Linked DNA regions of Oryzias latipes. The protein of the gene in region 1 purifies or fractionates together with the protein of each later gene. This does not show direct contact. Links are inferred from orthologs where the notes say so. Each region holds a gene or a part of one and is shown in the gene's direction. Other genes may lie near its edges.

Region 1 (4,082 bases):
ATACTGCAAAGAGACACGATTATGAAGTGCAGTTGAAACTGCGAGCTATCAGCTACGCGGAGCATCATGGGAATTCAAGATGAATGAATCCATGGAGGAAGCTGATAAACTCTGACAAGTCAAGAAGAAGCAGCTGAGTTTCTGCGGAAACAAGGATTACCACAAAAACATGCTAATCCACGTTACATCTGCAGGTTTTTTTAATTCTAACAAAGTCCGCCGTATTTTAGATGCAAATTTCGGCCAATCGGATCAACCAGAAAGGTTACCGCCCCCTGAACACTGTGCGCAGGAGCGCCGCTCAGTCGATGCGGGGTCGCTCGGTCAGCATTGCGCTTGCGCGGTTGTGAGGTTTGCTAAAGTATGGAAGCATTTGTGTAGCATCATTAAAAATAAAAGTCAAAACCATAAACGCTTTTTTCATTTTCCGAATGAAGCTGCATTTTTTTTTCACTCGCTCAGTTATCTTTGTGCTTCATGGCAGCCATGTATGTAGCCATTAAACATCATACATGAGTTTAAAAAAACATCATTGAGCTTTTAGTTTATAACAAGCCATTTATCCTTCTTAAACGGTCAAAAGACGTTACCGACAGAAATAAAAAATCTATAAATAATAGGTTATATATAATCTGGACCTAAAGTTAGTATGAAATCTTCCGTTGTGCTTGAAATTGTATTAAAGTCAATTTGCACTTCCCACAAAGTTCTATTTTACAAAAGTAGAAAAGTCTAGAAAAAGTCTATTAAATCAGTTATAAAAATAAACAACCGTGTATATTATTCTTTTTTTTTCTTATTAAAGAGCTCAATTTTAATAGGAATTAATTGTTAAAGCTATCTAGAGTTGAAACACTAGCAAAGACAGCAGCAAGTTTCATTCTGACCTGACCTAAAAAGCTAATTCGTGTTGGGTTTTTTTTATTTAAAAGTGACTAAAATAATACTTTTCGGTTTACAATTAACTCAAAAGAACTTAGTATTTAGATCTATAGTTTTCCTACTGCAGGAACTTGTTTAATTTTTTCAGGTTTGTGTACTGATTTCAACATCACGGCGGTTTTTAGCAGAGTTTTCAATAAATAATTCAAAAGCATTTCATACTTTGATATCAAACTGATTAAAACACGTTTTATCATAAAAGTCTATGCAGGTATTTTCTTTTTATTTCATTTTTGCTGCCACGTATGAAAACTGATTGATTTCTCCAGTTTATTTTATACTTAGTCCTCCTAGCCGCAGGGGGCGCTGGCCACGATTGAAGTGCGCATGACAGCAGACATGCGCAGATGTGGGTTCTGCCTGCCAGCTCTGAGTGGAATGAGTGAACCCCTGAAGGAAGGTTATGGAAAGACAAACACATTAATGTGTTTAAATTATAGTTTGTAATTTACAAAGACTAACGCCCCTTTGTGGCGGGATTTCAATTGTAGCCGCTACTGGTAAGATTCTCTTTAATGCTGAAACTAAGAGTTAAATAAATGCCAGCCAATGCTAGCAAATGCTAACAATTAGCTCTATTAAAACTAATTTAAAAATCAATTCAACATTTCCGAGGCATTTTAACTTAATTAAATGTTAGTTTGTGGTTTTGTCGTTCGTTTGAGGAGCCTTTTCTATTTATTTTTTGGATATAAAATGTAACAAATTGGAGTTAAACCTCATAAACCCTTTTTGACTAATTTTAGGTGAAACATTTTGGAGCTTTTTCTCCAAAAATACTTGGGCAACGGAAGTAATTAAGCTAATAAAATGTGGAAATAGAAAAAATAGGTCAGTTTGTAATACTACACTGGCTGAAAATAAAGAAAACAGCCAAAATGGATACAAGTTGATTAGCTGGCAGTGTTAAATGTTCTTCTTTTTAGTAATTTGGTTTCCCTCTTAGTTTCATAGATTCTTAGCCTTCATGTTTTCCTGCTCCAGTACAAACACTGAGCTGATTGGTCAGTATTAGTTTCAGGTGTTTCTTAAAGCAGGAACTCAGGTAAAGATAATGCCCAGATATATTAGTGAAAATCACCTGTTTACTTTATTAAGGCAGATATTGTAAAAACATCATAGTATCATTCATTTCTGTCAATTAAAACAATAAATTCAAATATTTTAATGTCTTCAGAGACGTTTGGGGCGACTCAAATTAATCTTTAATGATGTGAAAATCAACTTTCTTTTTTTCCCCTCTAAAAACCATAAAATAATCCATAATTCTTGCTTTAAATGCAACCTTTTCAAATGTCACTAACTTTAAAATAATGACTAAACGAGGCTCCTGCTCGGTTTTCTGAAACCTTTACAAAATCAAGTGAAAATTGCTCAATTTGTGCTAATTATAATTACAGTTTTTACTAATACAGTTATTTTATTTGTTTACTCTGGAATCTTTTCACCTCCTTTTAGGAACTATTATGTCAAAAATATATTTTAATTATTTTTAAACCAAATTATGTTTTAATATTCTAAATAGATCTGATATATAGTTATTTATTTCATTTTTTATTTTTAAATCTTATTGATGAATTTGGCTGAATTGAACCAAATCACAGAATTAAAATCAACATGTAAGAGGTTGCTGTTACCCCATTTGGCCACCAGAGGTCCCTGTTTAATTTGAACCGTTGCCAGCCATTTGAAGCTTCATGCATCCTTGAATGTTCAGTTTTTTCCCCTTTTCAGTTGATATTCTGTAAAAGGGTAATTTTCTGCATTTTAAAGAAAATGTTTTTTGTCTTATTACTTATTTTCTTTGATGCGGTGTGGACTCTTCAGATCTAAATGTTAAATTTTCATCATAGGATTTACTTCAGGAAAACAGTTTTTTCACCCAAATTTTGTTTTTGCTGTAATTTTTTCTTTTACTATGGGTATATTTGCTAAAGCATGAAAACAGAGGGCATTTATTTTTGTTTATTTTGATTATTTATTTTAAAATCTTCAATACAGATATAAGGAATGATTTGTATGGCTGCTTTTCTTATTTATTTTATGAATGATAATTTTATGTTTTACTTATTCAATGTAAAATATGTTTTTACTCTGCTAAAAAGCAGAGTAGAATGAACCAAATTCAATAGATCTTTTTAATGTTTACCTTTTAAGCGGATAGCGTGAGGTTTCAGCCTCTTTACTCTTGAGTGTTTTGGCCGCCGCCTTTTCCAGCTGCTGAGTTTTGGACGCCGTGTGTGTTCCTGCCAGCGTTTTGTTTGCCCCCCAGCTGTTTGTTCTGAGAGTGCAGCCTTTCAGCCCACAACCATGTGTTTGTGAATCCCCACTGAAGCCTGGCGCCAGCTGAAGTGCGATGCGTCCAGATCAGCCGCTCAGACGGCGGGCAGATTCGCCTCCCCAGGGCGCGGCGAGCACCGGCCCGCCGCGGGGCTCCATCCGGACTGCGAGGCCTCGTTTTTTTGTCTGCTGCCTGCTCCCGAGGGTCCATGCAGCTGACATGACTGCTGGCCAGCATGCACAGACGTGCTCCTCCTCCTCCTCCTCTTCCTCGACCAGCACCCTGCCAGCTAACATTAGGAAGCCAGAACTTCCCGACACAGGATGGGGGCGCATCAGGGATCTGTTTGACAGAAAGTTTGTCTCCTTTTCTTTCCTCACATCTGTTTAATAAACACCTTTTAACATTTTAAACACATCTTCAGCATCAATTACATAAATGATAAATGAAATAAATGTAAATCAGACGCATTGTAACCCCTTCTGAACGTCTCGGGTGTCAAACTTGTGGGTCTCCCTGCAGTGACGTACAATCTTACCCGGAGGAGCTGACCAACCTGATCAAGCACGGGATCATCGGCGCCACCGCCGGCCTCCTCTACGGAGGCATCCCAGCTGCTCGCTTCGCCCGCCAGCGTTATATCCAAGTGAGCCAGGCGGAGTTGTACACCAGCCGAGTGGATGCAGTGGTAGGTTGATGTTCCCGATCAGTAGGCTTTTATTTTCTAAACTTTAATATTTGATAAGACAATTGACTTTATTAGCTTTTGCAGAGCTATGAGAACATTTACAGACCCTCTCTGGTGCAAATGGTGTGTTGAACATGTTCTTATGACATGTTTCCTCATGATAGAGGACAT
Region 2 (4,235 bases), on another chromosome or scaffold:
ACTGTACAGTTCTTCCAGGAATGGGAGAGGGCAGCCGATGATCCTCTTTATTTAAAGGATTTATTGGCCGGCCTCAGTTTTCTTGCTCTATACGTTACTCTATTCTTACTAAGAGTTCTGCTTTTGTGGGTGAGGGGGTTTGCAGTGGAGAGTCAGCAAAGTTCAGAAAATGTGAATATTCAAAAGTGGGGAACATATTTGTGAGAGTACATGCTGCATGAAATGATGGTGCTCTGATTCATCTCTCATGTACTTTGTTAAAGTGGTCAGAGGTCTTGTGTATCCTCTGTTAAGTTCTTCCCCATCCTTGACTTTTTTGAACCTTCTTTGTGTGCTGAAATTTGTATTAAAGTAGGAAGAAGCCTCCCCGCCTGTCTTTGAAACTGAAGCATTTACTGCAAGGGTAATCCAAACTCCACATTTGGGATTTTACAGTCAGATAAATATAGTTCTCCTTAAAACTGTCAAACTCATCCATCAAATTCTAGATGGAGAAGGATGATCCTGCTTAATTTGCTTTACAATACTACACCTCTGCCTCTGGGTGCTGTTACTCTGCAATAAAAACAAATGTTTTTGCTGCTCTTGAGCTAAGAGGAAGATTTCACAAAGTTTGCAGTCCTGCAGGTGTTGACTGCAGAAAGTGTCAGTTTACGTAATTACCATTCCACTGCTGAATTATGGTCACGCTAAATGTGTCCTTTAATGCAATATCACTCAGTTGAATGTAATATTTAAAAAGGAGGGAACGGGGTAGTTGCAATCGTTTTACTGCCGGAATCCTTTCACAGTAGCACACTAGATGGAATTCACTGATCTCGTGAAAACGGCCTATTCTTTCACAAATGTTTTCAAAAGCACAAATCTGTGTGCAAGATTTCCCATATTTTTAGCTGATTAAGTAATTAAAACATATAAATTCAATTATTTGCATGGACAAATGAATACTTCTGACAATATAGTTCAAGTCTAAACAGTAGGAATGCAGCAGAGCTTACTCAGTCAACCTAAACCCTAGTGAAGGTTGGATATTTTTCTAGACTACTCTAAAATAAATCCAAATGAAAATGGATGATATGAGACATAATGATTTTTTATGAAGATGTATAAAATTGTGTAATTAAAAGAGAAAAATAAAATGCAAAGTGTGCTTGAAAATATTGAATATCAATATTATTGCTTCTGCATCACGATTGTGTTCTTTAGACATTTATTTCTGCCTCTGACATCAATCAAATTACTTTTTTTGTGTCTGACAAACACAAATAATTGATGTTTCTCTTCTTCAAAAAATAGATTTAAAAATATACTATTCAAAAAGAATATGTACAAAATATGGTCCGACGAAGTGCCAAACGCATGACATTGTTCAATTCTGACATGTGGGGGCGGTAGAGAGTCATTCTTGGATTTTCATTTTGCGAGAAGAAGAATCTTCACTCACGTCACTGACCGTGTAGTGGAGGAGGCCGGAGGAAGATGGCGGGGTCCAAGGTGAAGCAGGACATGCCTCCTCCTGGAGGCTATGCCGCCTTTGATTACAAGAGAAACCTACCGAAACGAGGACTTTCGGGTACATGCATAATATACACACTACTCGACAGCTTTTTAGACTTTTGTTGGTGTTAAAATGACACTACTTTACGAATTAGCCGCGCAAGCTAACTACCTAGCATACTGGAGTAATAATCGTAACAACACAAAGCAAGTGTAGTAGCTGGTTTTACTCATTGACTCATCTACTAAGTTCTAATTTTGTCACTGTCTTGTTAGAATGCCCATAGCGTTTTAAGATGTTAGGTTTTTTTTTTTTATAAACAGCAATGCTAACCGCATGCTAACTACTAGCCAGCACATCTTTGCTGTTAGGTCAAGACTAAAGTCAGCTAAATATTTATTATATTACGGCAAATGCGCAATAAATATTCACAAAACTGTTTACTGTCAGGCTAAAAGAAGACAGATTTTGTGTAATAATTTTTTTTTGGTTTAAATCCAGTTTTTAAACATACATACATAGCACAACAAATGTCTTTTGCATTTAATTTATTTATTATAATAATCGTTTTTGGTGATAAATAAAATGATTATTATTTTTAGGCAATGTAATAGGGAATTATCAGTACTGGGTTCATTGCCAAGAAGAAATCATAAAACAAATCTTTTTAACCCACATTTTCTTAGGTTTTGTGCTAAACTTACTAATGCCTTTGTTTGAATATTATTATGATTTGTAATTTGCCTTTTTAACAGTTACGGAGCTGAAAGCTATACAATCATACCTAATAATATTGCAATTCTAATAGTAAACAACAAAAGCATCAGTTTACCAATATTTATCAGACTATATGTAACAATTATCTGGTCTGTTTTATATCAAAATATTTAACTATAAAACAGACATAATCCATTACTGAGGTAGTTAAAATTTATATTTTGAATGACACAAAAAAGTTAGACTTTTCAATCAGTTTATTGGCCAACAGATTCACTCAAATATTTCCAGATTTTCTTAAAGCCAGACTCTGAAGGTCAACCATCTACTGGGACCAGCTGGGGGTCAAAGAATGAGGGGGAAAAAAACACGATGTATAAATCAAAAGAGAGAAATTAGTAACTGAATCAATGAAAGATTGATTAAAGAGGTACTAAAGGAAAACATGTTAGCACTAAAAAGACCCCCAGTCATCTCTGTGTATAGCTGTATTACTAAAGGCGGGTGTCAGGGTCCCCCGGACCAGCACAAAGTTCTAAGTCCACCCTTCAAGATGGAAATTGATATTTAACCATCACTTGCCTTATGATACTTCATGTTTTTCTGTAAAAACACAAAAGCTTTGAAAAAATGTAGAGAATTAATTCATTGTTCTTTACATTTTAGGATACAGTATGTTTGGCATTGGCATCGGCATCATGGTGTTTGGATATTGGAGACTATTCAGCTGGAACAGAGAAAGGAGGTAGGAGACGTCATGCATTTCCTTGGACGGGGTGTTGTGAAGGTTACAGCAGCCATTGTGTTTTATAGGCGACTGCAGATTGAGGAGCTGGAAGCACGGATAGCTCTGTTGCCTCTGTTACAAGCAGAACAAGACCGAAGGTGATGCTGGAATCTCTTCCAAACGCTCGAAAAAGGAGAACGGTCTTTGTGTGTAACAACTGTATTTGCATTTCTCCAGGACCTTGAGGATGCTGAGAGAAAACCTGGAAGAGGAAGCAATCGTCATGAAAGATGTGCCAGGATGGAAGGTAAAGGGGTCCCTGATGCTTTTTTAAGTACTCCCTATAAGAAAATGAATAGAAATTATCTCAAATTTACCGGGATAGTCATTTTTAATCTACAAATGACAAACATATCAAGCAAAAATGAAGGTCTGCACTTCAATTATACATAAATATTATAAGAACTAAAAAAAAAAAATTGTTTATACCTTAACAATGACAGCATGTTTTATACAGATATTACAAACATCCAATCTCAGAAATTTAAATCAATTTTTTGTGATTTTGTTTATTTCAAAGTTTACAATGATACCAAAGAGATAGTTAGAACCTAATGGCAGAAGTAATGGTCCAAGTATATTCAAAATGTTTCTTTGACAGTTTTAATCCGGTTAAAAACCTCCAGAGGCCAATAAACATGTTTTTCTTTTTATTTTTTGCTCTGTAACTATTGCAGGTGGGTGAGAGCGTCTTCCACACAGATCGCTGGACCACCCCTCTGACAGAGGAGCTCTTCCACCTCCGGCCACGCGAAGAGCTTCTACACAAGCGTTTTGGCTTCTTGTGGTACGTTTAGTCACCAGAAGGAGCGTGTCCTCGTTTCCACCACTCTCCACAGCCAAGAGCACGTGGACCTGTATTTTCCTTCAGCTTGTAAATGTTCAATAATAAAGTATCTTTTTTCCGTACCCCATCTCAGCTTCTCTCTTTTTTTTTTTTCTTCTTCTTCTGTAACCCTTGTGCTATCCTAGGCACTTTAACATTGGGAGTTGGGTCATCTAGACCCAATAGACAGTGCTCTGAACCTTTTTTCTTCAATGATTTGTGATGTTCACTGGTGTCCATGAATTACATGAAATCTTTCCACCTTTGTCATGGTAGGGAGAACACGTCATTGTAAGGGTGGGGTCATCTAAGATAGCACAAGGGTTAAAAAGACTGAGTAACTCAGGATCAGTTAAGGCTTCTACTGTATTATTTTATGTGGAGCTTTACAGATACATTTTTTGAAT
Region 3 (4,104 bases), on another chromosome or scaffold:
TGAATTGAAATGTGAGCCAAGCCAAAAATGTTGCTACTGCATTGAACTTAGGAAGTTGATCAGAGAGAGCAGACAGGGTTTTATAGGCGAGCCTCCTGGAAACATCCAAGACTGGATTATAAGGAAAGAACACAAAAACCTAAAGAGACTGATCACATGAGTCATTTAGGAGATTCTGCTCCACAACTGAAGTTGAACCTGAGATTGTGCACGGACAACAGAAGCTCTATTTCTGTGAACAACTACAGAGATTTATGTGGTTATTATTGATTTTCTAAAATCTAAAATACTGTTACTTTATATTTACTGACTTTTTATGTAAAGAACCCAGAGAGGATTATTTAGTAACAGATCGGCTTGTTAACATTTGGTTCTGTGTGGCTCTCAGTTTACATTTAGGCCCCCCTGCGACTGTCACACTTTCTCTGTTTCAAACTGACCACGGCCCCCATCAGAGGATGGAAACGTCTCTGAAAAGTCTGGGGACCCCTGCGTTAGAGGTAAGACTGAGATGGTTGGGACATGTCCAGAGGACAGACTGAAGGATGCTGAGTCTAGAGGAAGACCAGAGAGGAGGACTCTGGATGAAGGAAGACATGAAGGTAGCTGCTGGTAGAGGATGCAGGAGACAGACAGAGGAAGCTGATTGGCTGTGGAGACCCTGAAGGGAAACACCCAAAGGAAGAGAAGAAGATGAGTGGATTGGAGTACACACCCATCGAGGTATTTTGACGTTATTTCTGTTGTACAGTCAGTACTCTGGTCTAAACGGAGGAGGATGACAGACGTGATGGACAGAATGAGGCCTATAGGGGAAGTCCACATCCTCAGGTGGGGTCTCCGCTGCTCCTGACACCTTCAGCCAGAGTTCTGCAGGAGCTGCAGCTCATTGATGCAAAAACGGAAACAAGAAGCGCCTCCAGCTGAATCTAAGAGCCTCCAAATGAAAGCTGCGGGAATCTGAGCGCACGAGACGTTCCCAGACGTTTAAGGCATCAGCACAGAAGGGCCCCGCAGGCCCCGCAGAGGCCCCAGATGTGCAACAAAAGCCGCTTCTGTCTGTCCCGTGGAGCGGAGCCCGACCCGCTGCTGTCATCCGGGCCGTGTTTGCTGATCCGAAAGTGAAGGCATTCCTCAGAACCGCCTTCAGGTCATGAGATAAAGCGCTGCTTCCAAACCGCAAATATGACTTCAGCCCCGCACACCCACGCACGGCGCTGCGCCCGCGGCACACATCTCTGCGCCTCGCTCGACGCGGAGCTTTACGCGGCCGTTTGCAGGTGAAAAGCGGGCTGAAGACAAACCAACTACTGTCAGAACCGAACCGGAGCCAAGAAACGGAAAGAGAAAGTTGTGAACAGAACCCAAACAAATGTTCTGAAGTCCTCCACCAACCGGACATTTACAAAAAAACTCCAGGATGACTGCTCCCCGCAGGAGCAGTGGATCGGAACCAGTCAGTCAGAAGCAGCGGGGCTGGCGCTAAAGTTCGGCTGGTTCGGAGCAGAACTACTCACCCAGACTGTTGGTGGAGGAGTCCATGATCCGGTTGAGAGGCGCGGTGCGGCCAAAGGTTTGTGTTTTTATACTTTAAGGTGTGTTTTCCATGCTCACGCGGGAGTGTCTCACAAAGGCTCCAGTCAACTGCGGGCGCTGCAGCACACCGGAAACGTGAATGCCGCTCACAGCCGCGCGCTTCACGCGCCAGGAGGAACCCCGCGAGCCCTGCAACCGGATTACCGACTCCCAAACTGACAGCAGAACTCACAGGGATCCATCAGCGGGACATACCGCTGTCATGTCAGTGCTGCAGCCCCCCAGCCCCAGAAACCCCCCCGGACGCTGACAGCCAGAGCGAAAAATGTTAGTGTGGAGTTTTCAGCTCATGCAGCGCGGCGATGCCTGCTGCTGCCTCAGCGCCGCTGTTTCTGTCGCCCCCGCGTGGCGTCATCCGGAACTGCATGTTGCTGAATAAAGCATCTGCTGCTGCTGATCCCGTTTGATGTCCGCCGCTGGGAGGATCACATGACCACGTTCAGCCTCACCAGACTTAACCAAACTCCCAAAACACAATCCGACTACCCCCCTCCCCCCCATTGTCCTTCCCTGCAGCTGGGTAAACAGACAGGAGGATCAGATAATATCTGAATGCATCAGACAGATTTCACATCAAGGAGAAATGAATAAAAATCCCATTTTTGGGCTCTTCTGACAATAGTTACATCACAGTTTCTTGGTTTAAAAAACAGATTAAATTCTATGAACCATTTCTCTGGTCCAGCCTTCCAAAATAAAGGCCCAATACACAAATAAAAAGGCCGTTTGGATTTGATTTATTTCAAGCGATCAAAACCGAAAAGACAAACAAAAGACATTTATGTATAGATCAAGTATATCAAACTCAAGCTGATTTGTCACGAAGTGATTAAAAAATCTAAAAAGTAAAACATATAAAAACAGTTGCAAACATATATTCCTTTATAGTTACTCTTAATCATAAATATTTGCACTTATATAAACAATACACGACATATTAAACCTATTAAATTAAAATTTATTTTCCAAAAGAGTTTAATTATTTGAGGAGTAAGAGAAAGCTAATGAACATAAACCCACCCCTATTGTGCTTTATTTAACTTGTTTTTACATATTTATCATATTCTAGTTTGTAACTTCTGACAAAAAGACATGACAACATTCCAGAAATTAATATTACTCAAACATTTAGTGCTCAACGATTATTGCATTAATTATCGTTTGATAAAACTTCCCTCAAAACTATCAAAGCAAACCTGTTTTTTTAACGGCTTTCCACTTTTTTCTAAGTTAAATTCTTCTCTACTAAACTTTGGAGGCCTCTCCTGACTAGCTTTGGGGGGGGGCACTATTACTTTATGAATGACATTTATTTATCTTCCCTCTTGCTGAGCTTTTGTCACATTAAAATCCACCTGGTTGAACACTTGCCACCAGCCTTGACAGGAGGGTTTGGGGTTTGAATCTCTGCACCTCTCTGCCTTTTCCTGCTGCTGCTAAGACGTATTTTATGTTAGGAAGAACGGTTAGTATTTACGTAAACAAATATTTACATTTTCTCTGTCTAAAATCACCGGGCAGCACAGCGCGGAACTTTCTTCTCCGGACCTGCGGAACGATTGTTGCTGTTTTTCTCTGTTGTGAGGGGGAAGGAAAAAGGTGCCGGACAGAGGACGTTGGTTCCCCGGTAAGCTGCCGCCGTGTGGTTGTTTTGAAGGAGACTCGTTTTCAGGTGTGTTTTGAGTGTTTTCTTGTCACTTTGCTTCATTTTTTAATCTCTTCCGGGAGTCACTGATAACTAGTGGGAGACATTTTGGTGCTTGTGATCCTGGCACGCGCTCAGACCTCCCTGAGTCCGTCTTTCTTTCGATAGCCGTCGCTGTCTGTCTGTCTGTGTGGATCTACCATCTGGACGGTGGGTTTCATGGCTCCACCATGAAGGTTTCCCGCTGCCTACAGCGGCTGCAGGATCTGCGGCTGCTCCGATGCTCGTGGCAGACGGCGCGGGTCCTCCAGCCAGAACCCCACGGTCCGCGCGCCGCGCGGAGCAACCCACAGCAGCACCGGGTGAGTTCCGGCCCACCCCCTCCTGACGGGCCCTGAGTGACAGGTCCGAGATCAAAGGTCCCGTCTGTGTGAGTGACAGGTCCGAGATCAAAGGTCCCGTCTGTGTTTTACCTCCTGAAAACAGGAATCGCTTCTTTCCAGCGATTCATTTTTAATGATCAATGATTTTTCACAATACAAATATGTCAATCAAGTTACAAATGGTTCCAATCAAACGTTCATAAAAGGAAAAAAAAAGTAGAATTATTTCAAATTAAATGTTTGTTTTGCTATTTTTAAGCAAATGGATTGTATTCTATGTGAGGTTCTTGTATTTGTATTGTTACTTTTGATTACAGTGACAAAGAACTAGTGTAAAAGGTGCAAAAGACTCAGTTTAGAATAAAATTAGAATATGATGTTTGTCCACATGAATATGTTTTAACAGATTTAATTGGATCTCCCTCTGTTTTTATACAACGGTAGTGACAGGAGTTCTGCTGTCAATTCAGTTAAAGGTTT

The links. The genes of interacting proteins can lie anywhere in the genome.
Region 2: the proteins of timmdc1 (region 1) and ndufa13 purify together in Homo sapiens (co-immunoprecipitation; 3 studies listed by BioGRID and IntAct, with this or other methods). This does not show direct contact. The link is inferred for Oryzias latipes from reciprocal best matches to the Homo sapiens genes TIMMDC1 and NDUFA13.
Region 3: the proteins of timmdc1 (region 1) and ecsit purify together in Homo sapiens (affinity purification with mass spectrometry; 3 studies listed by BioGRID and IntAct, counting the BioPlex papers as one, with this or other methods). This does not show direct contact. The link is inferred for Oryzias latipes from reciprocal best matches to the Homo sapiens genes TIMMDC1 and ECSIT.

What each region holds. Positions count from the first base shown.
Region 1 is NC_019860.2:16,689,685-16,693,766, reverse strand, and holds the start of timmdc1 (complex I assembly factor TIMMDC1, mitochondrial), read left to right. Parts: upstream 1-1,277; 5' UTR 1,278-1,442; intron 1,443-3,277; 5' UTR 3,278-3,298; coding exon 3,299-3,579; intron 3,580-3,745; coding exon 3,746-3,911; intron 3,912-4,082.
Region 2 is NC_019875.2:22,789,951-22,794,185, reverse strand, and holds ndufa13 (NADH dehydrogenase [ubiquinone] 1 alpha subcomplex subunit 13), read left to right. Parts: upstream 1-1,427; 5' UTR 1,428-1,479; coding exon 1,480-1,573; intron 1,574-2,881; coding exon 2,882-2,960; intron 2,961-3,028; coding exon 3,029-3,100; intron 3,101-3,179; coding exon 3,180-3,249; intron 3,250-3,679; coding exon 3,680-3,799; 3' UTR 3,800-3,915; downstream 3,916-4,235. UniProt on the Homo sapiens protein: Accessory subunit of the mitochondrial membrane respiratory chain NADH dehydrogenase (Complex I), that is believed not to be involved in catalysis. Complex I functions in the transfer of electrons from NADH to the respiratory chain.
Region 3 is NC_019876.2:29,030,310-29,034,413, reverse strand, and holds the start of ecsit (evolutionarily conserved signaling intermediate in Toll pathway, mitochondrial), read left to right. Parts: upstream 1-1,296; 5' UTR 1,297-1,517; coding exon of another isoform or gene 1,518-1,542; 5' UTR 1,543-1,573; exon of another isoform or gene 1,574-2,083; intron 2,084-3,173; exon of another isoform or gene 3,174-3,181; 5' UTR 3,182-3,268; intron 3,269-3,409; 5' UTR 3,410-3,471; coding exon 3,472-3,603; intron 3,604-4,104. Other genes in the region: eml3 (echinoderm microtubule-associated protein-like 3), read right to left, coding at 1,518-1,542.